Linked DNA regions of Schizosaccharomyces pombe. Changing the gene in region 1 together with any one later gene gives a genetic interaction. Each region holds a gene or a part of one and is shown in the gene's direction. Other genes may lie near its edges.

Evidence for each region.
Region 2: of rsv2 (region 1) and fzo1, changing one suppresses a phenotype caused by changing the other (phenotypic suppression), as found in Schizosaccharomyces pombe (one study listed by BioGRID).

What each region holds. Positions count from the first base shown.
Region 1 is NC_003423.3:3,526,956-3,543,429, forward strand, and holds rsv2 (DNA-binding transcription factor Rsv2), read left to right. Parts: upstream 1-5,972; 5' UTR 5,973-5,975; coding exon 5,976-7,889; 3' UTR 7,890-8,333; downstream 8,334-16,474. Other genes in the region: RAVE complex subunit Rav1, read left to right, coding at 1-1,726; hht3 (histone H3 h3.3), read right to left, coding at 2,164-2,574; hhf3 (histone H4 h4.3), read left to right, coding at 2,812-3,123; SPOM_SPBC1105.13C (uncharacterized protein), read right to left, coding at 4,805-5,233; 3-hydroxyacyl-ACP dehydratase Htd2, read right to left, coding at 8,448-9,350; signal peptidase complex subunit Spc1, read left to right, coding at 10,134-10,217, 10,263-10,349, 10,405-10,470; RNase P subunit Rpr2, read right to left, coding at 10,605-10,928; cnp1 (centromere-specific histone H3 CENP-A), read left to right, coding at 11,646-12,008; pth3 (peptide release factor), read right to left, coding at 12,249-12,737; adi1 (acireductone dioxygenase family protein), read left to right, coding at 13,267-13,803; and 1 more.
Region 2 is NC_003423.3:592,138-609,083, forward strand, and holds fzo1 (dynamin-like GTPase fzo1), read left to right. Parts: upstream 1-2,228; 5' UTR 2,229-2,334; coding exon 2,335-4,611; 3' UTR 4,612-5,049; downstream 5,050-16,946. Other genes in the region: aly1 (arrestin-related trafficking adapter), read left to right, coding at 5,474-6,988; neddylation protein Dcn1, read right to left, coding at 7,291-8,046; rpl803 (60S ribosomal protein uL2), read left to right, coding at 9,144-9,905; protein new14, read left to right, coding at 11,177-11,419; rps1701 (40S ribosomal protein eS17), read right to left, coding at 11,567-11,959, 12,238-12,240; protein new20, read right to left, coding at 12,281-12,440, 12,596-12,783; P-type calcium transport ATPase Cta3, read left to right, coding at 16,034-16,946.

The sequences.
Region 1 (16,474 bases):
TAACGGACTTTTTTATTTTGATAATTCACTTCCCGAAGATCAGTCTTTACTGTTCCCTGCATCATTGAAACGTTCCGCAAAAAATATTTTTGATCTTGCATACCAGCTTAATGGAATTTTACCAGTTTTTCATCCTCAATTGTTGCAGCAGCTTTTACTTAGAAACCAACCCTTTCTATTTACTAATATTTTGCTAAGGTTTTACTTGTGTTTGAAAGATGATGTAGATATGCATTTTCTCTTAAATATGGACTGCAGTGAGTTTTACTGCTGTGACGAAGAAATTTCTAAAGACCTTTTAATAAAAAGTCTCAGCCAAAATTCTGCGGAAATTCTAAATCCTGCGGAATTGGATTTTGAAGAGACCAGTGTCTCAAAGCATTTAGGATTATACATTGATGAAATGATAAAGAAGTTGACTGCATTATTAAAAGTAAAGAAAGTCAAAACCCTCACTCGATCATCTCAGTTTTTACTTCTTAATTTAATCGAGGCATTCAATAAGGCAAGAGCATTGCGAGATTCATTGGACCTCAACGGAAAAAGATATTGCATTATGCTAAACCAGTACGTTTTATCAAAACATCAACGTCAATTAACAAGCTTGCCCACCCGAGAGATGGCGTGGGCTTTTCATAGCTCTAACAAAGCTGTTCTGTTGGACCACACTAAAAAGCTTCATGGAAAACCATTGTTATGGAATGCTGTTGAAGAATATGCGATACCGTTTTGGCTAAATGAGCAGCTACTGAAAGATGTATTTTTAGAGCTGTCTCGCAATCATTACGCTGAGATTGACGATAGGAACCCAGAGAATGTTAGTTTATATCACATTGCTCTACACAAAATAAATGTATTTCGTGATCTTTGGCGTCTTGCTAGTTGGCATAAGGAATCAGCTCGAACGGTTAAGTTGCTTTCGAATGACTTTTCAAAAAAGAAGTGGAAAGTGGTTGCATCCAAGAATGCTTTTGCACTTTTAAGCAAGCACAGATATTTTTATGCTTCTGCATTTTTTCTTTTGGCAGATAGTTGCTATGATGCCGCAAAAGTATGTATCCGTAATTTAAAAAGCATTTCATTAGCCATCGCAATGACTCGAGTCTATGAAGGCGACGATGGTCCGACCTTAAAGAGGCTAATAAACGAGTATGTACTTCCTTTGGCTGTATCTCAAAACGATAGATGGCTCACCAATTGGAGTTTCACTATTTTAAAACAGGAAAAAAAGGCCTTGCAAAGTTTGGTATCTCCCATTCGCTCGCTGGTCAGCGATAATGACTTTATACAACTTTATACATCCGATAAAAACGACCAAGAAATTCACGAAAATAAAGATTCACAACGAAATAGTACTAACGAACCCGTACGAAATAAGTTTCCGTCTGATGATCCTGCCTTCATTTTGTTATATGAATGTTTAAGATCCAGCAACGTGCAAATTGATGAAAGTCTTGAATATCGATTTGTTTTGCATAATGCTAATGTGTATTGCCAATTAGGATGTGACCTAATAGCACTTGGGCTTTTGCGTAATTGGAAATTCCAAAAAAATCCTGCAACTGCTCATCTTGAAACTGAGGATTATATGGTAACTGACAAGCAGTCTGCAGTGGAAAAAACTCACGACTCCCCCAAACTTGGAAAAACTCTTATGGGACAAGATATCCGGCCAACACCGGACGATGTCCCCGAATTTAATGAATCTGCGTTCAGCTTCGAGTAATTAATTAATTATCGATACGAGTTTTTAAAAATACTACAAAAAATCAAATACGGTCAACCCTTAGTTTATCGTGTTTCAATAATGATATTAAAAATTAATTTACTATTAAATAGCATATAAGAATACAGATGAAGTTCCTCAGCGTTTCATTTACACAATTGCGCAGGACGTAAAGAGAGAATTAAAAATTTCTATACATTTCGAAAATAAAAACGTCCGCGGTATAACTCGAAAAAAGAAAACAAAAATATAAATAGATAGTGCAGCTCACGGAAACAAAAAATTAGACTTGCATATCGTTTGTTACATTCCACAACACTCAAGGTTAAATTTTGTTTCGAAAGGCAAAGTAAATGAGGGAAGGATTACAATGGGATAGACGACCAAAAGATTCCAAATCACACCATCAGATGGCAACCACAATTTGGTAAAGTTGCTTATGAGCGTTCACCGCGAAGACGACGAGCCAATTGCATATCCTTGGGTTGAATAGTTACACGCTTTCCGTGAATAGCACACAAGTTAGTGTCTTCAAATAGAGAGACAAGATAGGCCTCAACAGCTTCTTGGAGAGCACCAATGGCAGAAGACTGGAAACGCAAGTCAGTCTTGAAATCTTGGGCGATTTCACGGACCAAGCGTTGGAAAGGTAGCTTACGAATCAAAAGTTCAGTAGACTTTTGATAACGACGAATTTCACGAAGAGCGACTGTACCGGGACGATAACGATGAGGCTTCTTAACACCACCAGTAGCGGGAGCAGCCTTACGGGCAGCCTTAGAGGCAAGTTGCTTACGAGGAGCCTTACCACCAGTTGATTTACGTGCAGTTTGCTTAGTACGAGCCATTATTTTCTAGTGTTCTGATAATTGCCCTGTGTAGATAAAAACAAATTATAGGGAGATTACGCTGTATAAATATGTCCCTACATCCAACTTTGATCACAACCCTAACCCTTTAATTAAATTGACGTAAGTTAATAGGGACGGCGCATTAATATATATTGTGAAATGCCGCATACCCTACTAGCAATAGAAGCACTGTTTATAGTAGTAACTCTATTTCGTTAATATTAATAGTGCAATATGTCTGGCCGTGGTAAAGGTGGAAAAGGTTTAGGAAAGGGTGGTGCCAAGCGTCACCGTAAGATCCTTCGTGACAATATTCAAGGTATTACTAAGCCTGCCATTCGTCGTCTTGCTCGTCGTGGTGGTGTTAAGCGTATTTCCGCTTTAGTTTACGAAGAGACTCGTGCTGTCCTCAAGCTCTTCTTGGAAAATGTTATTCGTGATGCTGTCACCTATACTGAGCATGCCAAGCGTAAGACTGTTACATCTTTGGATGTTGTCTACTCTTTGAAGCGTCAAGGCCGTACCATTTATGGTTTCGGTGGTTAAATTCGATATCAATTGCCGACTCCGAATTTTTTGTTTCGAGTCTATCAATTTTATGTGTACACTATAACTATTCTATATATACATGCCAAACGAGAATGTTTTTCATCTGGGCGATATCAGAAGAAGCATTATCAATTTGCTAGTGCAATTCATAGACAAAAAGGCGTTTGGTCTTTGTGAGAAATTTTTCATATCGCGTTGTATCACGGCTGAATACTCCATCTGACAAGAAGATGAATTTTTCTTCGTGGATTTGTGATTAATACATTTATTGAATGAAATGATTAATATAATGTTCATTAAACCCGAATCGTATCGTGATATTTATAAGTAGTACAAATATAGTAAACGCGCAAGTTTTTCTTTAGGTAATTGTTTGTGCGACCTTAAGCAAATTAACCTAGTTGATGCGTTACACTGTTCTTCGTGTCATCTTTCTGGGTATGGGGAAAGTGTGTCTAGTGAATGGGGTTAAAGAAGGTTATCTAAGCGACTAGTTGATAGCAAACAGTTGCATAGCCAGGAAGATTGTGAATTGTACGGTACATCGTAGTTGTGAGGTAATACGCAACTTTCTAATTGAGAGATATCAAATTGAATCAGCTCGATCGCATACTTAGATACTTATTAAGTGTTGTAATTTCGTCAAATAAAACTTTTAACAATGTAAAAAAGTACGTACTTTCTTCCGCTCCTTGCTTAATACCACAATAAATGAATTTACCTAATCTGTATCTAACAACCACATAGTCAACGGGACTAACAAATTCCAGTAAAGTGTTAAGGATAAAAAGCTTTCAGCAATGAGAGCGTACGACTCTTTCTCTAATCTGACATGTTTTCTTTTGTGTTTATAAAGCATTCGTTTTGTATTGACAAATTTTTCAATTACCTTGGGTAGGTGAATTATTTTTGGGCATATGACATCAGAACGCGTTGAACAATTAAGTTCACTTTGACAAAAATACAGATTTTTTATCACTACACGTCGTTTACTTTATATTTTACTTCATCTTATTACAAGGTTACTCTGTAATTGTAACGTTTGACGAAGCCCATAATCCAATCCTCTTTTTCGTTGCAGAGGAAAATAAGGAAGAGTAAGTACGTAAAGCCTACGAAAAGAAAGAGAAATATAAAAAAGTATACGTTTGTCAGTGCAATATTGAATGGTAAGTTTATTAATTGTTCCACTCATCGACTAAATAATAAAGTAGAAAGACGAGACATTTATGTGTATGCTAGAACACACTGGAATCCATTTGTTCACGAGTTGTTCTCGTAATAACATAATGATTGGTATTGCCGTGTGTGAATGCCAGTGATTATTGATGTTTGAAAGACTACAACTGATAAAAAGATAGTTGCACTAGTGATAAAAGTCTGTTGAAATTGGTATGCTCTAAAAGTCATTTGTACTTGAGTAAGCAGTCATATGCGTGTTGGCTATCCATCTGTTTGACTTGTTTGAAAATAATACACATGGGTTATGCTTTTCACAAGAAAGTAGAATAATTGATTCCTACATCTGCATCATCCATATCGATCGGTAAAGTATACTTTATCCTACGAATTGGTTTCATAGTTAAATCACTCCTCTGCTTAGCAGCTCCGCATCCCCTTCGTGTACTAGCCAATCTCATCGACATCGACAAATTGACTTCACCTGAGTTAAGCATACTTAATTCAACTTAACGAAGTGCAACCCACCACGACTGACCTCTGTAATCTCGGAAAACGGATAAGACGGTTCAGTACGTTCGCTAGTAAGAAGCATGCATGCAAAGGTACAAGAGCAGGCTTCCCATGCAAACTGAGAAAATAATCCCTGAAGAATTGCTAGTAAGCCAAATTGCAGCGCCTCCAAACATCCTTCTATTAAGGACCAGAAAGAATGATGCTGATGACTAATTTTTGGGTTATGCAAGAAGCATCTGGCATTTTCTTTAACTTCTCCACGAATAAGGAGAAGGTCACACGACGGAAGCGTGGAATAATGATGAGTTTGATCGTCGGTAAACTCCCCCAGAGTAGCGAAGATCATCGGCATCGAAAGAAAGAAGGGAAGGAAAAAAAAAAGTAAAAACGACTTGATGAATTCCGTGATCATGTAGGGTAACGGAAGACGAGATTACCGAGTTTAAGTAAGCAATCGAGGTCTGCATTGCGATGCCGATATGGTGATCGGGAACATGAAGCACTTGATTGACTTGAACATGTAGGGAGGAAATTTTTTTAGCGTTTTTAGACTTTTCATTTAGCTGCTATCTTAGGAGTAGCGTGACACGGCGCAAACGAAAAACAAGACATTTGTTGTACCAAACATCCTCAATTCCATCGCATCTCTAAAGTACGAGTAACTAGAGTAAGATGCAAATCAACGTCGTGATATGACCTAAAAGTATCGTGGACTTGATTCATCCTTCAATCTCATCTTTCCCCGACTCCGCCTCTTCATTTTGACCTCATTCTATGATTGCTTTTGGAATGAAGCTTGCAGCGTATTCCTTCATTAGTGCGTTATGACTAACCGCGATATATAAGGTGATTTAAGTACTGGAAGCTCGCTTTCCATATGAGAGGACAGCGTAGAGCGCAAGTCGCAGATTGAAGGAATGTAATTGGGGTTCGCTTACACATTACGCGCTTTTATTTGAAAAGAACGAATCAGCAGCACTGCCAGCGCATTCTGACATTTCCATGCTACTTCATTGGCGGCCTCTGATTGGCTCAATCAATGTAAAACGACGTCAATTGCTAACCAATGTTGTTTGACAAGGGTGGTTTTTTCAATCAGACGCTTGACGTCATTCTTTATATATACATTGCCTCGCGCATCTTTGCTGGGTAGTATGGACACTACAAACAACACATATGCAAGATCAATTTCTAGTAATGGGAACGATAACTTTCCCACTCCAGATTGGCAATTTAATGGATCCCAATTGCAACAAAATCGTAAATCCAAAATGAATGGTCGCTCTGTGACTAATGTATTTCCGAATGCATTCTCGGATGCTGAATTCGAGCAAATCTCGATGCCCGAACTCAATTTAAAGCGTTTTAACCCTACTACGTTAGAAGAAAATAACTCAGATTTATCTGATATGTCCTCCTGGGACTATATGATGAACGTTCCCATTCGTGTCTACAACGATGCTGACACAATGGACCCCTTCTCCCTCGACACTATTCCCGATTCCTCGATGGACATGCCATTTGATCCCTTAGCATCTGACTATGGTAACGCTGCTAACTTTCCAAGTGTCCCTTCGTCCCTTGGCAGCAATCATCAATTTATCACCACACCTCCTGTCAACGGGTCGAACGAACCTACCTCGGCTCAAACGAATCACATTATTACTGCTAACAGTTCCCCCAGTGGAAATGCTGGGAGTAACGCATCTGCAAGCATGTCCGTCCCTCCTCCTCTTACTCCATCTGCTTCCACCATTAATGACCAGCCCTTCTCCAACTCTTTCGATTTACCTAGTCAGGTGATTGCTGATGGCACTGGCGCGATTTCCGACATCAACGGTAATCCATTTCCCATGAATTCTCCACCTTTGGATATGGAACCGTTGCCCTCGATATCCATGGATGCAAGTGACTCTGTCTCCGAACAACTTGTAAAGGACGCCTCTCTTCCTAGTGGTCCTTTTTCAACCGATTATTTGGAGAATGGAAGTGACTTAAAAAGGTCACTGGGTCACAATCAAAAGTCAGACAGAGTCTCAAAAGATGTCTCACCTCAACACCAAGCAAATCCCTCTACCCTTAACAATCCTCTCAAGACCCAAAATTTTGATTCCTCTAAGAACCTTTATACCGACAACAAGGATTCCTCCCTTGTATCTCCAACGGGACTTCAATCCCGTATGGAACAAAATCCGGAAGTGCGGGCGCATCCTATGAAGGACTCGGCGACGAGCACTGCGTTACGCCGTTCTCATGCTCTGGGAGCTGCTGCTGACTCTCTTCTTCCTCAAGAAAACTCCGCTCAGATATATGATGGGAAGGATGTATCTATGGTCAATGATAACATGCACTCCGATGTTCGGCAGGACAGCTTCAATAAAGAATCTATTAAACAACGCATCCCTTCTTTGTCTCCTCCGATAACGCGATCATACAATGCCAAGCATCGCCCCTCCTTGGTGCTTGGTACGTCGGTAAATCCACATTCACTTTCTCCTTCACAGCCTCCTGTTGTCGTACCTTCAAATACTACGATCAGCTCCTCTCCTCCACTCACTTCTCCTGTTAAAACCTCTGCTAATATACCTAACTTATTACCGACTTCAGAGTTAGACAGTTCCAACGCTCCTCACTCTCAATCGGCTGCTACTCATGACCTAAATGACGTTAAGTCGTATTACAATACTAGGTCTTCTCATTCCGTGGTACCTAATCCAACCAACCAAAAAGTAAGCATCACCGGTGCTGCTGCTGATGGCCCCAACGGATCTGCTCCTGTTGACACCACTCCTACAAATTCTTCTACTACTGCTACGGGTGCTCAGAGGAAGCGTAGGAAGTTTAAATTTGGTAAACAAATTGGTCCAGTTCGGTGTACTCTTCAGAACAGAGTTACAGGAGAAATTTGTAACACAGTGTTTTCTAGGACGTATGATTTGATCCGTCACCAGGATACGATACATGCTAAGACACGACCTGTATTTCGATGTGAGATTTGTGGCGATCAACGCCATTTCAGTAGACATGATGCCTTGGTTAGGCATCTCCGTGTGAAACACGGTAGATAAATTGAAAGGAGTCTCTTCTGCCACAAATATTAAAAAAAGGTTATTGCATTATCTATTGTCATTTTTCACCTCTTACGCTTCTTCATTGATTCCTTGTTTATGAATTTTAAAAAAAGTTGCATTTTGCTAATTATTTTCAAGAAAAAAATTGGTACCGTTATTATTTCACAGCCCTTTTGAAAGTGCTTTTTCCTTTGTCTCCTTTCATGTACATTTATCATCTTAATTTTGCCTCTTCATTTCATCGTATCCTCAAGCTTCATGTGTAATTTCAAACCCCTTCTCCGTCTAACGGTTTCCTTTTTTATTTTGGACGGTCATAAGTGTTTTTATATTTTGTTTTCATTTTTATTGGGATTGGTTAATATTGTTTTTTTTTTCTTACCAAGTTACTGTTAAATGTTAATAAAAAATTTTGTGTGTTTTCACCTTAAATTGAATACCTATCATGTAATTTGATTTAGTTTTACATACTTAAATTTTAATATTAGTAAGTAGTATTTGTAATTTAGAAATATTTTTTCTGCCGGTATTAATTATTATTGTTTTTCAGTTATGTTAGGTATAGACGCGGCCTCTAGCAATCAAAGACGGTGGATCAAGGTCTGTAGTAAATCGATCAATCCATAGGTTACCTGTCTCTGAGATACATATGCGTAGTGGTTGATTGACAAACGCGGGAGATAATAATCGAAACTCAAATCTTTTCATGTTCTTTGACATTTGGGGATAAACAGAACGAAAGTACTCTAACATACTAGTCACTAGAAGAGGACCTGGAAGAACGAGATTTGGATAATTTTCGGACTTTGTAGCGTATGTCGCATTCCAATGGATCATATGAGCATTAAACATTAATGCTGAATAGCGAAACACCATAATAGGTGTAGGTGTGAATACCCAAGAGTGTTGTGGAATACTTTTGCTACGTAAAGTTTTTGGTATAGCCAGTTCTTGTCGATTTAAATAGGCTAATGTTCTATCTTCCTCGATACATAATTGATGCTGACTGTCGTAAATTTTTCTTCGAATATATACATGCTTTGTCTGTTTTTCTGAAGTAGGCTTTGTTAGAAAAGAACTTTTTGGAAGACAAGCTTCAACTTCTTTTGTAATTGATGGAGATTTCACAGATTCTTCCTGAATCAATTCATGACATTCCGAAGTTTGGAAAAGATGTAAAGGTCTATGAAAACGAAGGACTCCATGTAACCATATTCGGCGCTTAAAAGAAAAAGGATTATTTGGCTTTGGGGAATAAAGACTTTCATATCCATCTGAATTCAAATTTGATTCAGGAGATGCTAAAGAGAAAAAAAGAAAATGGTAACCAGGCTGTAATGATGTTATTTTAGCATCCATTGTTATGCAACTAACAGGCAAATGACCACTTAAAGTAGCTTTTAACTTATCAATTGGCGCTTGAGATAAGAAATCCTTTAAAACGACCTTTGCTGACATCGATGATTACTTTCTGAAACGCTTTGCACATTGACTTTTCAAGTAGGCAATTTATCAATACTGAAGGTGATCTATTAGAAATTATTATAAATTAGCCGAAGCAATTATCCCTAAGAAGACCTCAACTTTTAAAATCGGAAAGGACAAATCTTTGAAGCAATAAGCTCTTAATTTTATGGAACCTAATAACTTTAACAGCTACACATTACTAATTGCTTTTGGCACGACCCAAATTGCTTAAGGTATACGTGTAATGCTTGTTTTATACCGTTAGTGGAGACTTGACCTCTTTTAGCAATGAAGTACTAGCAAAATTTATGATAATCGCACATCTAATAAAAGATAATTTCACCAAATGAAAAAAAAAACCACCTAAGCAATTAATATACGATTTAAGTCACATACATTTAAATTAAGCCCTTGTTGGTGAATCTTTATTAATTATTAATCGTTTATGAACGCTGAAGTACCTTAACCTGTTAATTGTAAAGATCATTTCTATATAATGTTAATAGGTCATCAATGAGCCGCTTTTTCATTTTCAAATCGAATTTGACATTGAGGTGTTGATTTACATCTATTGAAAATGAAGGAGCAACCGATTTGCCTATATATTTTCATGCCTCTTTTTTTGCTTGTTTTTTGTTTCATATTCATCAATGTACAACGTGCTATTGGATTACAACACGTTATTATGGTAAACCGAACGATAACGAGATTCATTCGTTGTAACCACATAATACAAAAAGCAACTTTACTGTTTTGAGAAAGAGCAAGCATACCATGAACTATCTTGAAGGTACGATCGATTTTGCAGGACAATTAAGGTGTCAAAAGTATATGAACTATGGTCTATGTACAAGTGCTGTATGTCAGGGATAAAATCTCATTTATTTACTAATATATCTATAGGTTATTTCGTACATTTATGGGTATTTAGTTCAAGATTCTTATTGTGTGATTAAATTGTTTTTAATTTTAGCATCGTTGGTGGCTCTTGTAAGCTAGTTTTTTTGCTTCTAGTCATGTAATATTAACATTCATTTAAAAATAGGTGTGTCTTCCTGCTTGGTCTATGTACAACAAAAACCCTTTAAAATTTCAAAAGAAAAAGGAGTAAGCGGGAAATGGGGAATCTTTCTTTACTTGAATCGCAATCTCGCGAAATTAAAGAACCAAAATACCAAACAAAAGTTGCTCCGGCTTTATAGAATACAAATAATCTTTCATTCCAAAAGTAATGCTAAACATGTTTTAACAACTTTTGTCCGAAAACCTTTTTTTAAACGCACATTTTTTGCATATCCACAATACACGATCGATAGATGGATTTTTCCGTGATGGTTCCTCAAATCTTATTGAACATGACTTTCCTGGTACCAATAAAGAGTTACATCCTTTACATATGGTGCGCTTTATATCTGGGTGTATTCGCATTACTGATTTTTGTGAAACATCCTTGGCTGTAGAGATATAGTGTCTCGACAATGTAGGTTCTTGAACGTTTCTAAAAAGTAATTGCGAAGCCTGGTATAAATATGATACCCTTGCATGTTGGTCCTTTGACTTTGTACTCATCTCGACCGTTTATGTTTAAAACACTTGAGCTATTAAAGGAATTGCAAAACAGAGAACAAACAACTTTCCGTTTTTATAATGGAATGCAAAAGTCAAAAAAATTATTTTTAACTTAACAATTTAATTATGTTTCTTATAAAAATCCTTCATTAAATTAATTAATAAATAGTTAATGCTTGTTGCAGTCTGATTTTACCATAGGTCAAATTTTTAATTTGTTTTTCCACGGTAAACTGCGTTATGTAATTCTTTGTAAAAGAGTACGATAAATTTTTAAGGCTTTTGGATCAATTATAACCGAGATATAAAGAGAGCACATATGTTTATTCAATTAAAAAAAAATCGGTCTTGAGTTTCGCTTGGGTTTATATGATTAATTTCTCTTACCTATAAATAGTGAGAAATCATATATTCGTAAGCTATTATTAATACTTGTTCTTTTTAGCTGATGATGTGGAACGAACAAGAGCCTAATATTTTCATGTATTTTAATGATTTTCTTGTAAAACAGTAGCTTTAGTATTTTCTGACAAAGAACTTCTGTTTGATTGTTTACATTTTTAAATAGTGAGCTAAATAATTTAGAGTCTATGCTAGTCGCGACGCGTCAAACCCCTGTCAAAACCAAAACTCATTGTATCGAGCTCTTGCATTTGTTCCAACAATTACTGTTTAAAAACCTTTATTCCCAAAAGAAATTGATAGGAACAACTTAATATGGCAAAGAAATCTTTAATGGCTGAGCCTGGAGATCCTATTCCACGGCCACGTAAAAAGAGATATCGTCCAGGTACTACGGCGTTAAGAGAGATTCGAAAATATCAAAGGTCTACAGACTTATTAATACAAAGGCTCCCGTTTTCAAGAATTGTACGAGAGATATCTTCAGAATTTGTAGCCAATTTTTCAACGGATGTTGGTTTGCGCTGGCAATCTACGGCACTGCAATGTCTTCAGGAAGCGGCTGAAGCGTTCTTGGTTCATCTATTTGAAGATACGAATTTATGTGCTATTCATGCTAAACGAGTGACGATTATGCAACGAGACATGCAATTAGCCAGGAGGATTCGTGGTGCTTGACACTATATATTCAACAAAAAAAAATAGTTTTACGCTTAATCATATTGAAATTGGAATTGCTAAGGTATGATCAGTTTAATTGATATCAGGTGATTTTGAGACAGATCTTTAGCTACTCATTATAAGACTCTAAGCATGCTATCTACCAAAGAATTATTAAAAAAAATGTACGAATATGCTCATAATGAATGATAAATCTCACTCCTAGTTAATGCCATGTGAGTACCGAAGCAACGCAAATTAGATCACGTCTTGTTTCGCTTCATTATTATTCAGGCTGGAATCCTGGTCATCAATCTTATTTCCATACTTCCTTTTACTTTTTTTCTCTCGCTGTTTTTTCTTCTTGACAATACGTTGAACTTTTCTTGCTAAAAGACTATCGTTCCCGTGTTTGAATTCATCTACTTTCTCCGTTAACCGTTTCCTTGCAATACAACGATTTTGTTCACGTGAACGTGTGTCTTGAGATCGAACGATAATTCCCGTCGGAATATGTTTGACTTGGGCCACTATGCTAGTTTTATTTATTTTTTGTCCACCAGGGCCCTTTCCACATATAAATGTTTCCTCAATATCTTCTTCTTGGAGTCTTTCTAGTTGATAAGGTGTTTCTTTTTTAGAGCAATACCATGTATGCCGAAAATTTAGTTCTGCCAGACAAGAAAATGCATTTAGTCTTACTGAAATAAATGTTTTGTTCAAACACTTTCGTGCTGCGCACAGCATCTATGTTCACCTAAACGTGTTACTGCTAATAAATAGACAAACTTGACTAAAATAAACAACCTTGTCCTTTGGAATGATAATAGGCGGTCTGGTTGATTAGCGTGAAACTTGCTTAATACATTAAAAAGTTATAAGGGGATTTTGTATTATTGCTTTTCTCAAAGGTTACTGTTACAAAAAAGAAGAAAACAGAAACTTCTAAATTAGCAGAAAATTCACGATGTTGGAATATCGATGAACAAAATTGCGCACTTATTGCATAAGTTTAAAACTCTTTAATGTAATATTCTATTGTCACACTGCCCCAATAATATTTGTTTGGCATAATGCAATAGATACTGTATTACATTACATGCACAGAAGAATTTTTTTTTTTTTTTTTATTTTCACCTTTACTCTCACTCGAGTAGTGTTTTGCCTGCTTTCCAATTGACACCTCTTCTGTTTAGTCTAAAGTTTTTCGTTCAATAATTTAAAAAAGTCTTAATTTTCTTTAATTTGCTCGTGACTCAACATAAAAATAACATCAATGAGAGCATACATTTTCCAAGACGAAGGCGATCAAAGAAAGCCGAATGACTCAAAGATTGAAGTTTCAGCTGAAGATTTAGAAGCTGCTAAAGTGTCCTATAGACATCATGATGGAGATCTACATACCTTCGCCGATGGCCTTATGAAAGAATATGGATTTAAAAATCGGGATGAAGTTGTTGTTAGTAGAAAAGGACTTGGAGATCGTTATGACAATATGGTAAAGAAGTTCTTTGAAGAACATTTGCACGAAGATGAGGAAATTCGATTAATTCTCGATGGTAATGGTTACTTTGATGTCCGTTCTGTCGATGATAGATGGGTTCGAATTTTTGTTGAGAAAGGCGACTTAATAATACTTCCTCCTGGAATTTATCATCGTTTTACTACGACCACTGATGACTATATACACGCAATGCGCTTGTTTCATGAAAATCCAAAATGGATTGCATTGTCTCGCACAGATTCAACCAGCGAGGAACTGGATGCACGAAAAAGTTATTTGAACAGTATTAAAAAAAGTGTTTATGTTTAATTAGGTATATGCAACAACTGATTTATATCAATAATCTTACGTATGGATTAACACTAGATATTAATAAGAAACTTCCTTTATAAGGGTTTAATGTACAATAAAGATAGTAATAAATATAGTCACTAATCATTTATGATCATATTATTTTAAGTTACTGATTGTATTTGCTTATTGGAATGCAGCTTTCAATACACACAATTCTTTCATCTCGCTACGACACAACAGTCCCTACCTACTCACTGCCTACCTTTTGCCGCTTAACGTTTTGTGCTAGTCATTTTTTTGTTTTTTAAATCCCCATATTAAGGATAAAACTAAATTACTTCCATGTTGAGTAAACTGCGGAAGACTATTTAGTTACTTGCCCGGAATCCTTAACCTCTCTAACAAGCATTAAATGCGTCAGTTACAAGCAGAACTCTTACGTTTATTCCTTTAAGCTATTAGGTGAATTTATATATTTGTTAACTAACGACAACTATTGACTGGTACAAAATCTTAAAATGAAGGATGACCAACTCATTGATTGGATTCACGAGAGATATGAAGAGCAGAAAAGTGCTAATCGTCTTGCAGGCCGTTTCAGGTTTCTAGGTTTAGAAACCAAATATTCAATTATTTCCATTATTTCAGGTACGTAATCCAACCATTTAAATGCATCTGCATGTTGGTAGTGTACGTGATATTTTATTTGACTGTTGATTTACTGTATTCTCTTTATCTGATTTCTGACATTTTTGGAAGGTATATTTATCGGCTTAACAGCTGCTTTATTAAATGCTCTCGCATCATTACTTAACAGTTTTCGTGAAGGGTATTGTACTGTGAATATACTTTTTGACAAACAGACTTGTTGTTCAACCCTAACGGAGGACTATGAATGTCAGGAATTTTTTTTTTGGAGAAACAATCATTCCGTTTTTGTTTCTTGTTTGATATACGTTAGTGTTTCAGTCGGGTTTGCATTCATAGCAACTACTTTAGGTTATGTAGTAGCTCCTGCTGCTAGAGCTAGTGGCATTCCGACAATTAAAGCAATTTTGAGTGGCTATAAATACCCTGATATGAACGTTTTTTTTTCTATAAAAACCCTTTGTTCCAAATCTTTAGCTGTTTGTTTCAGTGTTGCATCTGGTTTATGGGTTGGAAAAGAAGGGCCATTTGTTCATATAGCGACAAATATAATATATTTAGTTGAAAGAATAGCTCCAAGTCTTGCTGATTCTGAAATTTTTACTAGACAATTGCTTGCTGCTGCTATGGCCTCCGGTATTGCTGCTTCTTTTAATGCTCCTGTTGGTGGTGTTATTTTTGCTTTAGAACAACTAGCTTCTAGTTCTTTTCCAAGCTTATTTACTGGCTCCATTTGGTACGAGTTTTTGTGCTCTGCGTCTTCTGTGGTAGCTCTACAGTTGATTAGGTCTTGGCACACAGATGTTGGATATCTTTCTTATGTTTCTTTGGATAGACGTTGGAGTTATAAAGATACACTTCCCTTTATATTCATTAGCATTTTATGTGGATGCTTAGGATCTGTTTTAATTTACCTTAACATGAAGTTTGCTTCAAAGACCAAAGGCTTTTCAAAGATTTCTAACGTTTTTTTTGTTATTTTTTTATCTTTGATAACATCCTTGACGGCTTATGCCATTCTAGGTGAAAGCGAGCTGTTGTTTAATCCAATGGAGCTGTTCCCCCAAGTTATCAACTCCTGTTCTCCTTCTTCGTCAACTGTGTTATGCGAGACTACCTTTTGGGTAACTGCAATAGTTCTTTTTACATCAGCATTATTGGGACTTCTTTTGACTTCAGCTACATTTGGGGCAGCTATCCCTACTGGTATTATTGTCCCGTCGTTGGCAATTGGTGCATGTATTGGAAGAGCTGTTGGGACTCTTTTGAAGAGCCGGTTCCCATCGCTTGCAGGTACCAGTATCTATGGGGTGATTGGTTCAATTGCATTTTTGAGTTCAACTACCCGATTAGTAGTAGCATTGGTAGTAATTCTTTTTGAACTAACAGGAGCTTTAAACATTGCTCTCCCTCTTATGCTAGCTACTTTAATTAGTAAATGGGTCTCGGATAGCATTATTGAAACATCCATTTACGATGCTTGGATTCAGTTTAGAAACATACCCTACTTCCCTTCTTCCAACTCTTTAAAATTTTCAATACCCTTGAATTTTCCAGTACGTTCTCCGGAACAACTGGTGAGGCTGCCGATTAGAAGTTGTTCCATTGAGGAATTAGAGAGAGCCATGCATGATTCTTCACAGTCTTTCTTTGTTGTTTTAAAAAATGATACTGAATTTTTTGAGGGGTTCATTTCAAGAAATAAAGTCTCTGAATTACTGAATAGACGTCCAATGAGTTCTAATATGCAAACAACTGACAATACTGGACTAGACCCGCTTCGAAGTGCTTCAGCACCTGTTGATTCGACTTTTGACCTGTTTGATTATATTCACCCTACCACATTTACCTTAAATTATGATACTCCACCAGTTTTAATGCTTAAATTATTTAAAGATGCTGGCATTACAAATTTAGCCCTTCTGAATCATGGGAAATTACATGGTGTTCTAACCAAGATAGTATGTTTTATTTGTACCATTTGATGTTAACGAAATATACTAACTAACTTTAGGACATAATAGAATATGCTAAAAAG
Region 2 (16,946 bases), 2.9 Mb from region 1:
TGTTATTTCTGTAACGAATTGAGTTTGTAGGAAGAAACAAAGTTCCTAAAAAGTATGCAAATATCTTCAATATGCGCTAAATAAAGAAAACAGTTCGTACAGTAAACAAAGTCAATAATTCGAAGCGACTAAATAACGAAAAATTTAGAATGAGACGGATATGAAATGCATTTTGAATTGACCCGTTTTCATTTGTACAACCACCATACATGATTATTCTCAACATTGTTTTTTATGAATGCGAAATAAGAAGTATTAGTTTAAAACATCAAGTAATTTTTTAACACGCCACCACGAGTGGACAATGTGAAGTTTACAACTTGTGCTAATTTTTTTGACTACTCAAAAAATTAAATATGCAGCACAAAACGAGAACTGAATTATATGCAAACCCTTATACACTGAGCCTTAAAATTCATGATTTTTTACTTGCAACAGAAAGTAATAAGTAGCTTAAAAAATTAGAGGAAATCTGTTAATCGTTACAGTGGATTCTCACATTAGACAATAACTACATTATTACGATAACAAATCATCGTTCTAAATCACAATATTTTATTATGCTGTTCATTATTTTGTAAACATTAATTTTGTTTGTATTAAAGTAAACCACTAAACCAAAGGAAAAAAATGATAATTAAGTTTGATTCATTAAGAATCAAGATGAAGAAGAAATGAATGCAATAAACGACAATGAAATTGTGAATTTAACAAGGCGAAACAACGAGTTTTTCGATTTCATTAGTTGATGATAACAGTCAATTAGTGAACTGCTATTTTAAAACGAATAAATAAAACCATTATTATAATATTCAATGCCCAGTGTATGTTATTCACGGAACCTTTCAAGCAATGCACTTGCTCATCCAATTCGTCAGGAAATGAAATATGCAATAAAAATACATGTGACATACTTTAAACAGATTTATGATTTGTTTGAGTAAATCACAATCATAAAGGCGCTTCTTTATTGCACATTCTTATGAAGAAAAGAAGCCTCGTGTAAAAAGCGACTTTATCATACAATTAGTAAAGTTAACAATATAATTAGGCTTCACTTTCGGGGTTCATCTCACGCAATGGAACAGCTGTGTATTCATTCACTTGCTGTTTGGCCTCATAACCTAATGATAATTAGCATACACAATTAAAAAGATATCATATTAAATTTACCCATCTTTCTGATCAAGTGTTGGATATGCCAACTGTAAACAATGATCACATCCAAGTTATTTTACAGCACTGGCAAGTTTCAACTTTCAATTGAGTAATTCCTTTCTTATTATTTACAATTCTTACCTGAATATGGAGGCAATGTACTTTCCTCCTCTGAATCATATTCTGGGAGGGGTCCTTTTTCCAAATCGATTTCATGATCTGTCTTCAATTCATCTTCTTCATCTAGAGGACTTTTCAAAGAAGTGTAATTATTCTTCATAATAATAAAATCATTCTTTATTTAATAAAATACATGCGCGAATTAATTGCTATGATTGCGACAAACCAAACAGCGAAATCAAGAATATTCACTTTGTAGTCCAATTCCAATCGCTTTAAAGACTTTTTAACAAAATAATAAAATCGTTCAAACAAATTTCCAACTAATTCCTTCAAACAATGGCATAAAAAAAGAAGAACGAAAAAACTGAACGAGGCAGTGAATTACTTCTGACACATTTATTTTGTCACTGCCCTTTTTATTCACCCCAACTTAGTTTTCCTTATACAGCATACTGTTAAAATTGGTTCGCTACGTTGCGTGTCACTAATTTCATATTTGTAAAATCATGTTTTTTAATATAGACATCAGTTAAGAACAAAGACTTAGAAGATTATAAATGGAATTAGTCGCTGCATCTCATTCCTCAGTTCAATTATTAGCTAAATCGGTGACTGATACTGTTAGGCGTCTTATAACAATAAATATAATATTGTCAGTTAACATAACGCACAACGCTATATGATTTATGTATCGCTAAAACAGATATCAAACGTCGTCGATGTCAACAGTATACGGTATACTTGAAATTTCGTTCCTACGTCTTATTTATGATGATACAAATGTAAATTTTTGAATTGTTGTGCTCAAGGATATAATAGAAATTTCTTTTTTAAAGCTTTATATGTAGAAAGATGATGTCTTTATTTTCTCATATTCATCTACTAATATGTTGCTCCCATTTTTTTTCATTATTCGTACTAAGGTGTTATGCAAACAGTATATGGTTGCAACGCATATGTATTAATTTTTAAGGAAGTTGCTCTTTGCATGAAATTTCCAATCTTTAGGGATCAAGTTCAATTATATAAACGCAAAATTCAACTTTAAATGATATGGAGAAGAGTGCAAGGCAATTATCAGTAGCCGAACAGAATGGTGAATCGGGAAGATTAAATAATGGATATACTTCAAACAATATTCAGCAGTATAAAGATGAAACTAATCGTCATCAGTTCGAGTATAACCAAAATAGGAACCAATTGTTAAGATCCATCCATATTATTCAAAATCTGTTAAATGAACTGGATAATTATGTAGATCGATCTGACTGTTTGTTCCACAGTGTTTGGAGAACCGATAAAGAAAAATCTAAATTTTCAGGAAATTACTATCCATTTAGTCCGTCCAAAATGAATGTGATCACCATTGATCTATCACTGCGGTCGTCGTCGACTGCTGATGAAAAATTAATCAGTCAATTGGGCGAGGAAGCTCATGAATCTCTACTAAAAGTACACATAGAGAAAGCAAATAAGCATCTCTTTTCACTTTTTTCTAGAGTAGAAGATACCTCTTCGAAAATCCTTATCACCGGGGATTTAAACGCAGGTAAATCGACCCTTTGCAATGCTTTGGTACACAAAGACATTCTACCAGAAGATCAACAACCTTGTACTGAGGTATTTTGTGAAGTGCACGATGCTGAACTCAATGATGGAAAAGATTGTGTTCACGCTATTCCTCATGGACTCACGTATAGTCATACTGACTCTTCAACATATAAAGTTTTTCCAATCGAGGATTTGAAACGCCTTGTTTATGAGACGGAAAATTGGAGCATGCTAATTGTATATGTCAATGATGGAAGACCGGCACATGAGAGTTTGCTTCACAATGGAATTACAGATATTGCACTTATTGATGCTCCTGGCTTGAATACTGATTCCATGAAGACAACTTCAGTATTTGCTTGCCAAGAGGAAATTGACGTTGTCGTTTTCGTTGTAAACGCTGAAAATCATTTTACCCTTTCTGCTACAGATTTCTTAAGAAACGCCTCCACTGAGAAATCCCACATTTTCATTATTGTGAACAAATTTGATAACATCAGAGATAAAGAGAGATGTAAACGATTGATCCTTGAACAAATTCATACCCTTTCTCCTGGTACTTTTGCTGACGCTAAAGACTTGGTACATTTTGTGAGCTGTCGTGTCGCTCGTGATCCAAATAATCGAGAGGATGCTCTATATTCTTCTTTTTTTCAGATGGAAAACTCTCTCCGTAGCTTCATTCTCGAAAATCGCTCAAAATCTAAACTTGCCCCGGTACGTAGATACTTGTCAGGGTTAGTCGGTGATATACTTAATATCTGCGAATATAACATAAAACTTATCGATTTTGATATTAATCACTTGCAACAACGTTTGACGGATCTTTCTCCAAAATTTCGTAAGGTAAAACATGAGCAGCAATTTACCTATCAGAAGAATGAATCTTTAGTTGAAGCGACTGTGCAATCTATTTCTCAGCATACACATTCCGAATTAGAAGATGCTATTGACTCATTAGGTTCTTTTGCTTCTGTCAAGTATTCTGGTTTTTTCTTTGCCTACCAGTATGCGATATCCGTAAGAGACGCCATGCAACAATATTTAGAAGAAAAATTGTTGGAGTCAGAAGATTATGCTCGAAAGAGGACCGAAGAAGCTGTCTTATGTATTCAAAAAGATGTAAAAGATAATTTTGACTCCGCCGTCCTTCCAGTCTTTCATGCCAACCAAATGTTTATTAAGAAACATAGATTGCAACTGCAGAAGCATTTTCGATTTGAACTTGGCTTGCTTGATTTTATAGATCTAGACCTTACTGAGAGATTAGGAACCTGGAGCGCTTCATTGAGTACTATTCTCTTGGTCCTTGGAAAAACAACCCCTTCATTTACAACGCTTGGTGCATTTACTGGAAATCTTGGTTATCCAATATTTAAATATTTTCAAAATAACTCGCTTCAACACTTATTGGTCCCGGTACTTGGTTTAGCAAGTATTTGCGTTTTTGGGTATGTTATTTACGATATACCTAGAGCACTTCCTCTTAAAGTTGCGGAAAAGATAAAAAAATCTTTAAGGGAGACAGATTTTTGTCACAATGCTAGTATTTGGATAGGTACAGAGAGTCGTAAAGTTCTCAATATTCCGTTGAATGATTTACGAAGAATGTTTCACCAACAATGGGATAAGCAGCGCGAGACTATATCTGTCGCTGAGAATGACTTACGAATTTGTCAAAAAGCAAGAAAGTTTTTTGGTGAAATAGAAAGCCGAACTCGTGAAGCTAAGAAGAAGATAATGATGGTTCAATTGGAGGGATGTGATATAAATTATTAGCAGTACGGGCTGAGGCTAAGTTTTAAAAAAAAAGAAAAGAAAATTGGAAGTGGCCTTCCTTACTGAAAACGATATACTCTTCGAGTTTATGTTTGATGATTTCATCTTATATTTTACATTCCAAGATTAATGAATTCAAGATACATCAAATTTCCATTTCCGAGTAATCATCCATATTCAATTTCGTAGCACGAATGCAATATTGGGAAGCATGGCATTTAATATTTTAATTCTGCTGAGGTCAATATACTTCAACTACTAAAGCCATGAGTTTTTTATTTAGGTTTCTGATGTCTTTCAAAGTCGATAAGAACATTTTATAAACTGGAATTTTCCTCAAGTTATATTGCATCCACTCAATTCTTTCATACATAAAATGTTTATGTCAAAATGTAATGATCTAAATTATAAAATCTATTTAATAACACATCTCCAAAGTAGAACAGAACTTGATATAAGACGATATAATGATTTTTGATAAATATCATCATTATATGGTTATAAAATGTATGCAGCACATCTACTAGCGTTACCGTGCTGGCAATTTCTGAAAAGCCCCTTATCACAATCTTTTTTTGAATTGCTATCTGAAATTTCATTTTACGGTTTTTATACATATTTTGGAAATATACCAATTTCTTTTGGTTACAGAGCCGCTTGTTCCATATTCTTACTTCTTTGAGCGACGATATTTCAATTAGTTAGTGTATTTTAAAAACAATACGCTGTCATTTAAGCTGTGCATTTTTTATCTTTAATTCATTTGTTCATCTCGATTTTTAGGCCTCTGAAGTACGCCTTGCAAGGTGCTTGTTCTGAGATACATAGTTGCGAAGTACTATCATAGTGTGTATCTCGTTTGATGTATATTCCCAATCTGAGAAATTATCACGACAAGGTGTTTCCTTACGGACCTTCTTCCAATGGCTACAACCCTGTAATTCGCTTGACTGATAGAACCACACAGCCTGATCCCTCGCAACATATATACCAGGAAGAGAAAATTAGTAAATGTGAAGGTCTATCATATCGAGCTCGTGAATGGCTTCTGCTTTCTTCTAACTCTAATGCCAGAGTAGCTATTGCGCTTGCTGAACCTGTGCTCTATTTACCTGGAGCGACTTCAAGTGAAATTCAAAGTGAACATTCAGCTGTTTTGCGTGGATCTTTGTGCATTCAAATTTATAAGCCTGTGAAATTGAAAAAGATACAACTGAGCTTTAAAGGAAAATCGAGAACAGAATGGCCTGAAGGCATTCCTCCAAAACTCTTTGACACATATGAAGAGAACAGTATTATGAATCATTGCTGGGTATTTTTTCATTCTGAACAGAAAGTGGATGAGAATTCACATGGTGCAGTGTGGTACAAAGTTTTGCCTCATTACGCAGATACCGCACACTATCCCCGCAGTATGGAATGCTTTTACCCTGGAGAATACGTGTATAATTTTGAGCTTCCTATCTCTTGTACATATCCAGAATCTATACAGACCGATATGGGTCGTGTATATTATTTCTTAGAGACATTGGTGGACAGAAGCAGCACCTTCTCTGGTAAGTCCACCGGCAGGATTCCCATTGAATTAATTCGTAGCCCGTGTAGTACTAGTGTTGCGACTTCAGAACCTATACTTGTCTCAAAGAGTTGGGAAGATAGGCTTCACTACGAGGTTCAAGTCGGTGAGAAATGTGTTGTAATGGGTCAAGTAGTTCCTGTCAACTTTAAATTCACCCTCTTGGGTGAAGTCAAGTTTCATAAACTTCGCCTTTTTTTAATGGAGCGAAGATATTATTATTGTCGCCAACGTTCAGTCCGTCGAAAAGAGAAAACCAGACAACTACTTCTGTATGAGCGTAGTGCTCCAAAGAACCAATGTTTGCTCTCCGATTGGAAGCAGGTTAGACCTGATGTTTACGAACTGTCTGATCAGGTACGTATTCCTGGATGTCATGACATGGCTGCCAATATTGTGCATTTCGATACTACGTATCCAAACATTAAAATAACACATACTGTGCGTACAGTACTTCGCTTTTCTTGCGAAAATTCTCCTGAATTAATGGGCTCTGCAAAATATTTGGAAATCTATATTGATTCTCCTGTCCGACTCTTATCTTGCAGATGTTCTGATGGTTCAACTATGCTACCTGCGTATTGTCCTATTATCCCCTCTAGTGAGGTAAATTTTTGCTCAATCGACAACAGAATCATTGCTGGTATGAACAGGGATCTCGCACTTGATTCTGACATTATCGGAAATTCTCCACCATCCTTTGATTCCTGGACCGCTGTCCCGTATCAAGCACCACCTCCAAAGTACGATGATATTTTTCAAAGTGGCAGCAGTCATGATGAAAATCATGATGACAACTAGTATCTATTATTTATCTGTGATTTATTATCTATTTGCATTTTTGTCTTGCCTTGTATATAAACGTTTTTGTTATTATATTTTTTTTCGCACTTGCTATTTCCATTGACTGTTGTACATGTTCTTTTTATAGTTTCATTAATATATTCATTATTTTTCTTATTATTAAACATATGTGTCTCATTACTAAAATGTTTTTAGGGTTAAACTAGCAGCAGTTTGCTGTAGAGAATTATTGGGGTGTAAGAGTTTATTATTTTTTCATTGATGTCATTGAAATCAACTTACAGAAAAGCAGTTATTTGTTAGGAGCTGCTGTTTTTATAACCGTGTTCTCTATAGTAAGACACGAACTCGTCTATGAGGGTTGGCCACGCACCTTCAAAATCATAATTAGAGCAATTGGGATCTGATTTAACAAATACACTAAAATCCCATAATTCATTCCACGTATCCTTTGGCAGAGATTTTTCGATAATAGGGGAAACTTTTAAAAAAGCAATCCAATCATCCAGAAGAGGAAAAGTATCTTTAAGAAGAATCTGGAAAAATTCAATGGCAATGGAAGTGCTTAAAGTCTTCTTTCCTTTATCACATGCAAGCGGGTATGTGTAAATATAAATGGCTTTTTGAAGGGATGCATCTGACCTCCAAACTTGCACTTTTTCTTTTATGGCAAGTTTTAATTGATCAAGGCTAGTTGTTGAGAGATTGAGAGCACCTTCAACAAAACTTTCTCGATGGAATTCTCCCATTCGCGGGGACTTTAGGAAATAAGAAACAAGTAGAGTTTCAGGATCCTCGAGTGAAATGTCTAGCGCCGTAAATAATTGCACCGAGCCATCAAGTTCTATCAAATCTTTATCCTCTTTAGAGGAAAATTGACTGAAAACATTGTTTAATTGCTTTTCCGCCTCTTCTCTAGATTTTTGCTGTATCCATTTCGTGTAGGCCACATCATAATCAAAATTATACTTTTTAAGCCAGCTGAGAGCTGCCTTAGAAGAAGTTGATGTGGCTTTAGAAAATGCTCTAGTCAAAGATACGGTATCCGGTTTCATAGGTTTTTGATTGCTATTGTATATACACTTAACTGGTAAAAGTAGCTGTATAAGTTTTTGAGAAATAAACAGACTGAATTTAGCAAAAATGTAAAATTTGAGCACAACCGGTTGACCAGATTTTCGAAAAAGGGAGACAATAATCAATTTTAACACCGTCAAACAGATTTGTATCTTGAGAGAAAACACAATCCACGGCTAACACAGAAAATGAGTATTATACGGAACAAAAGAGTTGAGTTAGTAATTTGGTTTTATATGCTTAAGCTGAGAGTTAGCGAATGGAAGTACAAGCAGCAATTAAGTGATTGTCTGTAGATAACTATTGGTGTATGTACAAAAACATCTGAAAACGGAAATAGTTAGTTTAAAATCTATAGTTTCACAAGTCTACTTTAAATGTTATTTTTCGAAATTCTTACCTTTTAAATGTACTTATTTACTATTACGTTGCATTTTCATATCAGTACAAAATTGTCCAACTCAATTTTTTTTTTAAGATTTATGGGTCAAACATAAACGATGCGAAAATTTGTGTTTTTTTATTGAAAGAAAAAAAGAAAATTTCGGTGTACTCACTCTCTTTCCAAAGTTAGTTTACCAAGAAAACTTCTCAACTTCAACAGAATGGTACATGCTCATATCGGCTGAAAAAAAAATATATTTTCTTAACTAATTCATATTCATAAGATTCAAATGTTTTCGTAACTACAATATCGTTCTGTATACTCTGTTATTGTTGCAATTTCTCAAGTTTGTAAAATTTGTTTAGAAACGTAAATTCGTTCCTCAGTCTGATTTTCCTCGTAATAATTAAGTTCTTAACCTTCTATTACTATAGTTTAGTATAGATAGCATAAAATTGCATTTAAACGAATAAACTCAACAATATATCAAAATATTGCAATTATTTTCAATTGCTCTGTCACCTCTTTATTCCGATATATTTGGAGTTTGCAATAAATCAACAGGGATATTGTTTTCGAATGTTTCAGTAACCCTACCCTGGTCGTTAAAGCAGTCACATGTACACTGTTTATCATCCAAACATACTGTTGAAGGTCCGTTAGGAAGTTTTCTATCGCCATCTAACAACCATGGGACGTGTTATTAGAGCTCAAAGAAAGAGTGGTGGAATTTTCCAAGCTCATACCCGTCTTCGTAAGGGTGCTGCTCAGCTCCGTACTTTGGACTTTGCTGAACGCCATGGTTATATTCGTGGTGTCGTCCAAAAGATCATTCATGATCCTGGTCGTGGCGCTCCTTTGGCTAAGGTTGCCTTTCGTAACCCTTATCATTACAGAACCGATGTTGAGACCTTTGTTGCAACTGAGGGTATGTACACGGGCCAATTTGTCTACTGCGGTAAGAACGCTGCTTTGACTGTTGGTAATGTGCTGCCTGTTGGTGAAATGCCTGAGGGTACCATCATTTCAAACGTTGAGGAAAAGGCTGGTGACCGTGGTGCATTGGGTCGTTCTTCGGGTAACTATGTTATCATTGTCGGTCATGATGTTGACACTGGCAAGACCCGTGTCAAGTTGCCCTCTGGTGCTAAGAAGGTTGTCCCTTCTTCTGCCCGTGGTGTTGTCGGTATTGTTGCTGGTGGTGGACGTATTGATAAGCCTTTACTCAAGGCTGGACGTGCATTCCACAAGTACCGTGTCAAACGCAACTGCTGGCCTCGTACTCGTGGTGTCGCTATGAATCCTGTTGATCACCCTCATGGTGGTGGTAACCATCAACACGTTGGTCATTCTACCACTGTTCCTCGTCAATCTGCTCCTGGTCAAAAGGTCGGTCTTATTGCCGCCCGCAGAACAGGTCTTTTGCGTGGTGCTGCTGCTGTCGAAAACTAAGCCATATATTATTCTAGGGCCTTTTAATCTTTCTATAAGGTTTTACACTTTTTCCTTCCTTCCAGTTCTTATTATCTAATTCATCTGGTATCTCATTTTCATACTTCTTTCGCCTCTTAGAATATAGTTGAATTTGTAGAAATCGTAAGCTTTGTGTTTACATTTGCTGTAGTGCCTTGTAACCCTTCAAAGTCCGCTTGAAGTTGAAATAGACGGTTGGATGGTAATAGTCGTATTCAAAGAGAATTGTGATAGTGGTTCTAATTTATTTTATGAATTGTGACTTACATTTACTGAGCATTAAGTGTAAAGATCCATTACTTTACCAAATGAGTTTATTTCTATTTCTTATATAACTCCAATGCGCCTCAAATACTAGTTTGTTCCTAATGGCGATAAGAGTACATGAATGACATCCTAACAGAAATATAAAATTAAATACACTGAACAAGGATACAAATTAATGTTTAAATCATTAAGTATAAAAAAAAAAAAAGTATAGTAAATATTCTAATTGTTTTGCTAGTTAACTTTTGTGCGCTTGGTGTGTGTATTTACGAAATATAAAAATTAAAAAATGAACTCCCACTGCGAGATTCGAACTCGCAACCTTCCGGTTAAAAGCCGGACGCTCTAAGCCGATTGAGCTAAACGGGACTTGTTGGTATGTACAAATAATAATTCTATTTATCCCATTTTCTTTCATAAAATAAGTTTATTTCTAATAAATTTTTTTTATACATTTAAGTATTGTTTTTGTATGTGCATTTTTTATTCATTTGCCTGAAGTAAAAATTTTAAAACCATGTTTATAGTATATGGATTGATGTTCATCAAAAATTAAATTCCGTTTAAAAATTGTTTCGGAAAAATAAAGGGATTGTGTACGATTGCTGTAAATGTTAAAAAGGAATAGCTTATTTATTTTAATAAAACATGCAAAAAATAAAAATAAATAAAAGGGATAGTTGGCTCTGTTTTATTTATGCTCGTATATCTCTTTTATTTTTTAAAAACAGAATATAATAGGTACAAGAGGTTGAGCATGTAAACGATGTCGTAAAGATGTTTTTGGGTAAAAAAAGGGTCATTAATAATAATTTTAATCATGATGAATTTCCTTGGAAATTAGACATTCATCTGCCACTGTTTGACATGTTGCTGTGTTGATAAAAATTCATTTAAGGACAATTGATACGTTTTAGAAATGAAAATGTTTATTGCACAAACAAAAATATAATGAAAATGTTTATTGCACAAACACAAAATAAATGCAAAAAAAAGAAAAAATCATTGAAAACTTAGAGAAAGCAGGTAACACATTTCATTTAATTATTAAATGTAATACTATTGCACGGATACTAAAAAATTTATCAACATATGCTATATTACTCAATTCCAACATATTAGAAGAACATGTTGATCTGCTTCTTATATATCTCTCTACTCAAAGAATGTGGAAGCTAAATAACTTAAAAAAAACACTGCAATATAAGGGAAGCAAAAAAAAATAGCCTTACAATACGATGAAATTTAAATACAAAAAATTCGCATTGAATAGTATTTTAATAACTACATCAAAGGAAAACAAAGATGAAGCCAAGTAATGGCAAATTATGCACTGAAAAGTATAAATGGACCCATTACGACCGAAATTTCATTTACTGTCTGCGACGGAAACGCTCTTGAGGGGCAGGAGCAAGCACACGGACGGGAATTTGATCGTAGCCAAGAGACTTAAGCATGTCCTTGGTGTCTTGGTCAACGTTAACACGATCGACCTCAAGCTCAGAAACTTCAGGAACGTATTGATCCTTGCGTTCACGCTCCTCTTCTTGAAGCTTGAAGGAGATACCACGAACGGGACCACGTTGAATACGTTTCATTAAGTGAGTCGTGTAACCGGCAATTTTATTACGAAGACGCTTAGAGGCGATGATAGCGACTTCGTCAACAATTCTCTTGTTGGTTTGGAAATCAAGAGTGAGACGAGGGTAATATTTTTCAATTACCACACGGGAAGCTCTCTTGGTAGTTTTGGTACGTACACGACCCTAGAGGAATGTTAGTTATGCACAAAAAAAATCAATTTCGTAGATAAACGTAAGGATTAGGATTGCAAAGAGAAGCATGAATGAAAGAAAAAAAATTTTATGTGTATTCAAATGGACCATGTGAAGAGAACCTACGTTTAAGTAAATGTTTATATTTGCCGCATAGAAAAAACGTCAATTTATGGCTTTAGTAAGCTACAAAACTAAAGAGTAAATTTTGTTCAAATAGACCGAGAGCTTCGACTTTGCAACTCCAACCATGCTTTATAACTACTTACCATTTTGAAGTTATTCGAGATGGAAGTGGTTGAATTCCTTTGGTTATTCTTTCAAGTTAGAAACCGACACTGTGACTGGTTTTTCATTAACTAGGGTAGGGTCCACATATATGTAACCGGGCGCCGCTTCTAAAGCGTATGCACATTCCAGTGTACATCTGCGACATAAAAGCTGTATTCGTTGTTCGTAACCTCCGTCGCTTCTGTTGTGATGGTTAGTGAATTAATGTGTGGAGAAAATTAAATTTTCGTTCCGAAAATCAGTAAACAAATAAAAAATTTCCACATGTATGATCAACCAACAACAAACCAGGTGCTTATGTGTTTATATAAGGAACGATAAGTTAAAACAACTTACCTAGTAATGTAATATTTGTTGCCTGTGGAGAAATGTGCTATATGATTTAATTTTTCGTCCACAACATGGCGTTTATCTAGTTGCCGTTGCGGAAGACGAGTAAGAGAGACATGTATGGTTAAAAAAAGTTGACCACACGGGCAAAAATATGAATAGGCTTTAAAAGAATCCTTTCCTTGATTACTCATGAAGTGAACGATCCTAAGAAGATGTCGTTTTATAATAGTCTTGCAGTTTAAGTTGTGTGTAGCAGATCAGTATTACTATAACGATATCGCAGTTTTATCAATTAGAACGAAAATTACGAATTACAAGGTATTGAAATTTTTGTGCGCAAAGTTTAAATTGTTCAAATTTTCGGTACAGTAAGATAAAAAAAAAAATTTTGTATCTCAATACTAGACTGCTTGTTATGTGCGAACCTCCGATGTCTTCTAAAGAGAGAGCTACAGGCTTAGTTGAGAGGCGTGAGTTGGCGAAATTTGCTGCTTATTAATTCAAGCTGAAATGAGTGAATGAATAAAGGGTTTGAGTGTTAAAATTGCCGACCTCTAACTAGCAGCAATACGAAATATAGAATAGGTAATAATATCCAATATTTCAATTAAATAAGCATTTGCATTCTTTATATAGCCTACCCATTGATGAAGTCGCACATTACGCTTGTCGGCGGATATCGTTATATAATTCCATTTGTAGTATATATGTTTATAGCTAATTTCATTGAAATTAAAGAAGGGGGATTCTATGGAAATGATTTTTTAAAAATTAAATTTTTAACCAGAGTTCTTTGATTCGTGCCAAATCCACCCGTGCATCTGTTGTAACTGCGCATTGAAATTATTCGTACCTTGCACTTTTCCTAGTATGAACGAATATATAGTCTCATATGGGAGTCAATCAAGTACAAATGGATTTAGGAAAAGGTGTTATTGCTTAATCGGCTTCTGCTCGAAACCGGTACATCTATTTACTTAGCCCACAAATGATTTAAAAAAAAAACACAGTAAGAACTCATGCCAAAAGCATTTTTTTTGAAACTAAATGTATTACTAATGTATGTATCTCAAATTTTGTAAATGTGCTCCTTTCAGTTAAATTCTCAAAACATCCTTAAAAAGATTTTTGGTATATTCTCTTATATAGTTCCCCGCATATGCTCGAAGCAAAGTTCGCAGTGTCTTCTTTTTAGAGTTTTCTATTTACAATTAACAGACAGGCTAGATGAGAACACCTTTTTTCAAAACAATCTTCAAGTGCTGCAACAAGCGATAAGTCCGAAAACATATTAAAGGTTGCTGTTTTGTTCCTTCATTATTTTGCACAGCAGCATGTGAGCGAAAATTGGCTTTTTCTTGCATTACATCAGGAAAATTCAATAATAAAAAAAATGACATTTCGGAGAAACGAGCTGATGGCCATGTTACCGGGCATATCGTACGAATGGTTTTGCAAAACGATCTAATCAAATGTCGAAGATATCTCGCACGAATTCAAAACTTCGATTAAAATCTCTAACTAATTAGTAAACTAAAGATAGTTTTTTTGTGCAAGGCGCTTCTTTCATTTCATCTACACATACTCTCTAACTTACTCACCCGTCTAATGCGACATAGCGATACGCTAAGTAAGTTTCTTGCGTTTCGATAGATCTTACATACCTTATCTTATCTTATCTAATGTCGCAATTAGTGGAAACTATCGCAGAGTGTGCAGAATATTTAAACAAATGTTACCGATATTAATTTTGAACTTTAATAAGCGTAAAGGAAATTCAGAGCCTAAAATTTCCAAAAAGAACAAAAAACAAACAAATTTGGCGTGATAGGACTGGAATATGGGTCCTTTCTACTTCCATCACAAAACTCCGATCTTCGGTCGGTTCCCCATATTTCAGCAATTAAGTAACACATTACTTTCAAAGAAATAACATGTTACCCTTATCGTAATTATGTTACCTATAAAACACCGACATGTAGCCACCTTCGTAATACTTATTAGCGTAAGGAGGATCGGCATATGAAAATTGCAAAAGTATACGTAAACAATTAACACTGCAAATGACTAAGCCTCAATCTTGGCAAACGTTTCAACGTTCAGGTTGCCTCTTGGATTTCATTCCTTGGTTAGTTTCTCTCAAAATTTCTCGGTTTTTTTGACATTTTTTTTTCACTCTGAGTATTCTTCTCCTCTGTCATGGAAATCCACACTTCTTCTTCTTTAACCGAATAATCTTAAATGCTAAATCGTCCTCTCATCTTCGCTTCCCTTGAATAACAACACTCCGCCATTCGTCATTTGTTACTCCGCTTGATAATGTCAGCTACTATGATTTACGTAATTTTATAGTTAAATTCCCCAGGCAAGCTTTGCTGCTTATTGTATCTCTAGCCAATGTATGTTGAGGAAATCAATGTCGGAGTCATTGCAATCCGACACTCTGATATCGTTTTTCTTCCAAGCCGTATATATACTGCTGCTATTCCTCTCACTTTTCTCTATATAAAATATTCTTTAACTAAAAAGTAGTAACTCGTCCTTTTTTTTTGAACATTTACTACCTGCTACCTGATCTGAGCTAAAGATCTGATAGCCCCTTGACGAAGATAACATTACGAGCTTCGGTTTACCGTGTTAAGTAAATTAAGCTCCCCTGATTATACTTTAATTATCACTCATTTTTCAAATTCTCTCGATCCCCTCCATTTTAGTTTAACTCTTTTTTTCCCTCTTCAAAATTCCCCTTTTCGTTAATACACCTTCTTGCGGTCTTTTCTTTTTCCGTCCTGTGTTTATTTGTTTATTTGCCTTTCCACTTTTTGTGTTTTGCTAGATCTCTGTATTTGGATTTGCGTAGTACGCAATTAAGTGAGCTCGAGTTTAATTTTAAAATAATACGTTAATTCCCCAAAAGGATCTCATTTGATCTGATCTGATCTGCTGTCCCTTGTTGATCCTTGACTTTGCGTTTGGTTTTTGAAAACCCACAGCACAATTTGGTATTTTCTTTCTTTCTTTACCTTTTCGCATTCTAATTATTATTTCATTACACTCCCTACGCCTCTATAATTTCTGTTTACTGAGCGTGCGTGTGAGAATATTTGTGTGTGACCTTGTTTACATCATCTACACGATTTATTTACTAATTTCGCTTCCAATCTTCTCTGCTATTTTTAGGTCAAGCATCGTTCCATTAATTGTTTATATACATCTTTGAGCAATTTATTTTTAAAACAAAAAGTATTCCTCTAACTATTCCTATTTCCTCCTTCTCCTCACTACCGCTTTTTTACTTTTATATTCAGACATAAACCTTTTCCTTCCTACATTTCTTTTGGAAAACAAAACCAGTTGCTTTTTTGATTTTACTTATATTTCTCCCCTTCTACTCATCCCGATATATTCTTACTTCCTTGATTCAATCTCAAATATTGTTCAATGGTAACCATTAATATCTCGAATCCCGTTTATTTCTCTGACATTAAAGATGTTGAATCAGAATTCCTTACGTCTATCCCCAATGGACTTACCCATGAAGAGGCTCAAAATCGTCTTTCCGAATATGGAGAAAATAGACTGGAAGCCGACTCTGGTGTCTCAGCCTGGAAAGTCTTGTTGCGCCAGGTATTGAACGCAATGTGTGTTGTCTTGATCCTGGCCGCCGCTTTGTCTTTTGGTACCACTGATTGGATTGAAGGTGGTGTCATTTCTGCAATTATTGTTCTTAATATCACCGTTGGCTTTATCCAAGAATATAAAGCCGAGAAAACTATGGACTCATTGCGAACATTGGCTTCTCCTATGGCGCATGTCACACGCTCGAGTAAGACTGATGCTATTGACTCCCACCTTTTAGTTCCTGGGGATGTAGTCGTGCTAAAAACTGGTGATGTTGTACCCGCTGATCTTCGGTTGGTGGAAACGGTAAACTTTGAGACAGATGAAGCATTGTTGACTGGTGAGTCGCTTCCAGTGATAAAAGATGCACACGCTACTTTTCAAATGAACGAAGATGTTCCCATTGGTGATCGTATCAACCTTGCATATTCCTCTTCCATTGTGACTAAAGGTCGTGCCAAGGGAATTTGTTACGCAACCGGTATGCAAACGCAAATTGGAGCTATTGCAGCTGGTTTAAGACAAAAAGGAAAGCTCTTTCAACGTCCTGAAAAAGATGAGCCAAATTACCGTCGTAAACTGAACAAGTACTATCTTAAAGTCACTTCTTATTATGTTCAAAGGGTTTTGGGCCTCAACGTAGGAACACCTCTTCAAAGGAAATTAACTGTTCTTGCTTATATTCTTTTTTGCATTGCCATTATACTGGCCATCATCGTTATGGCCGCCCACA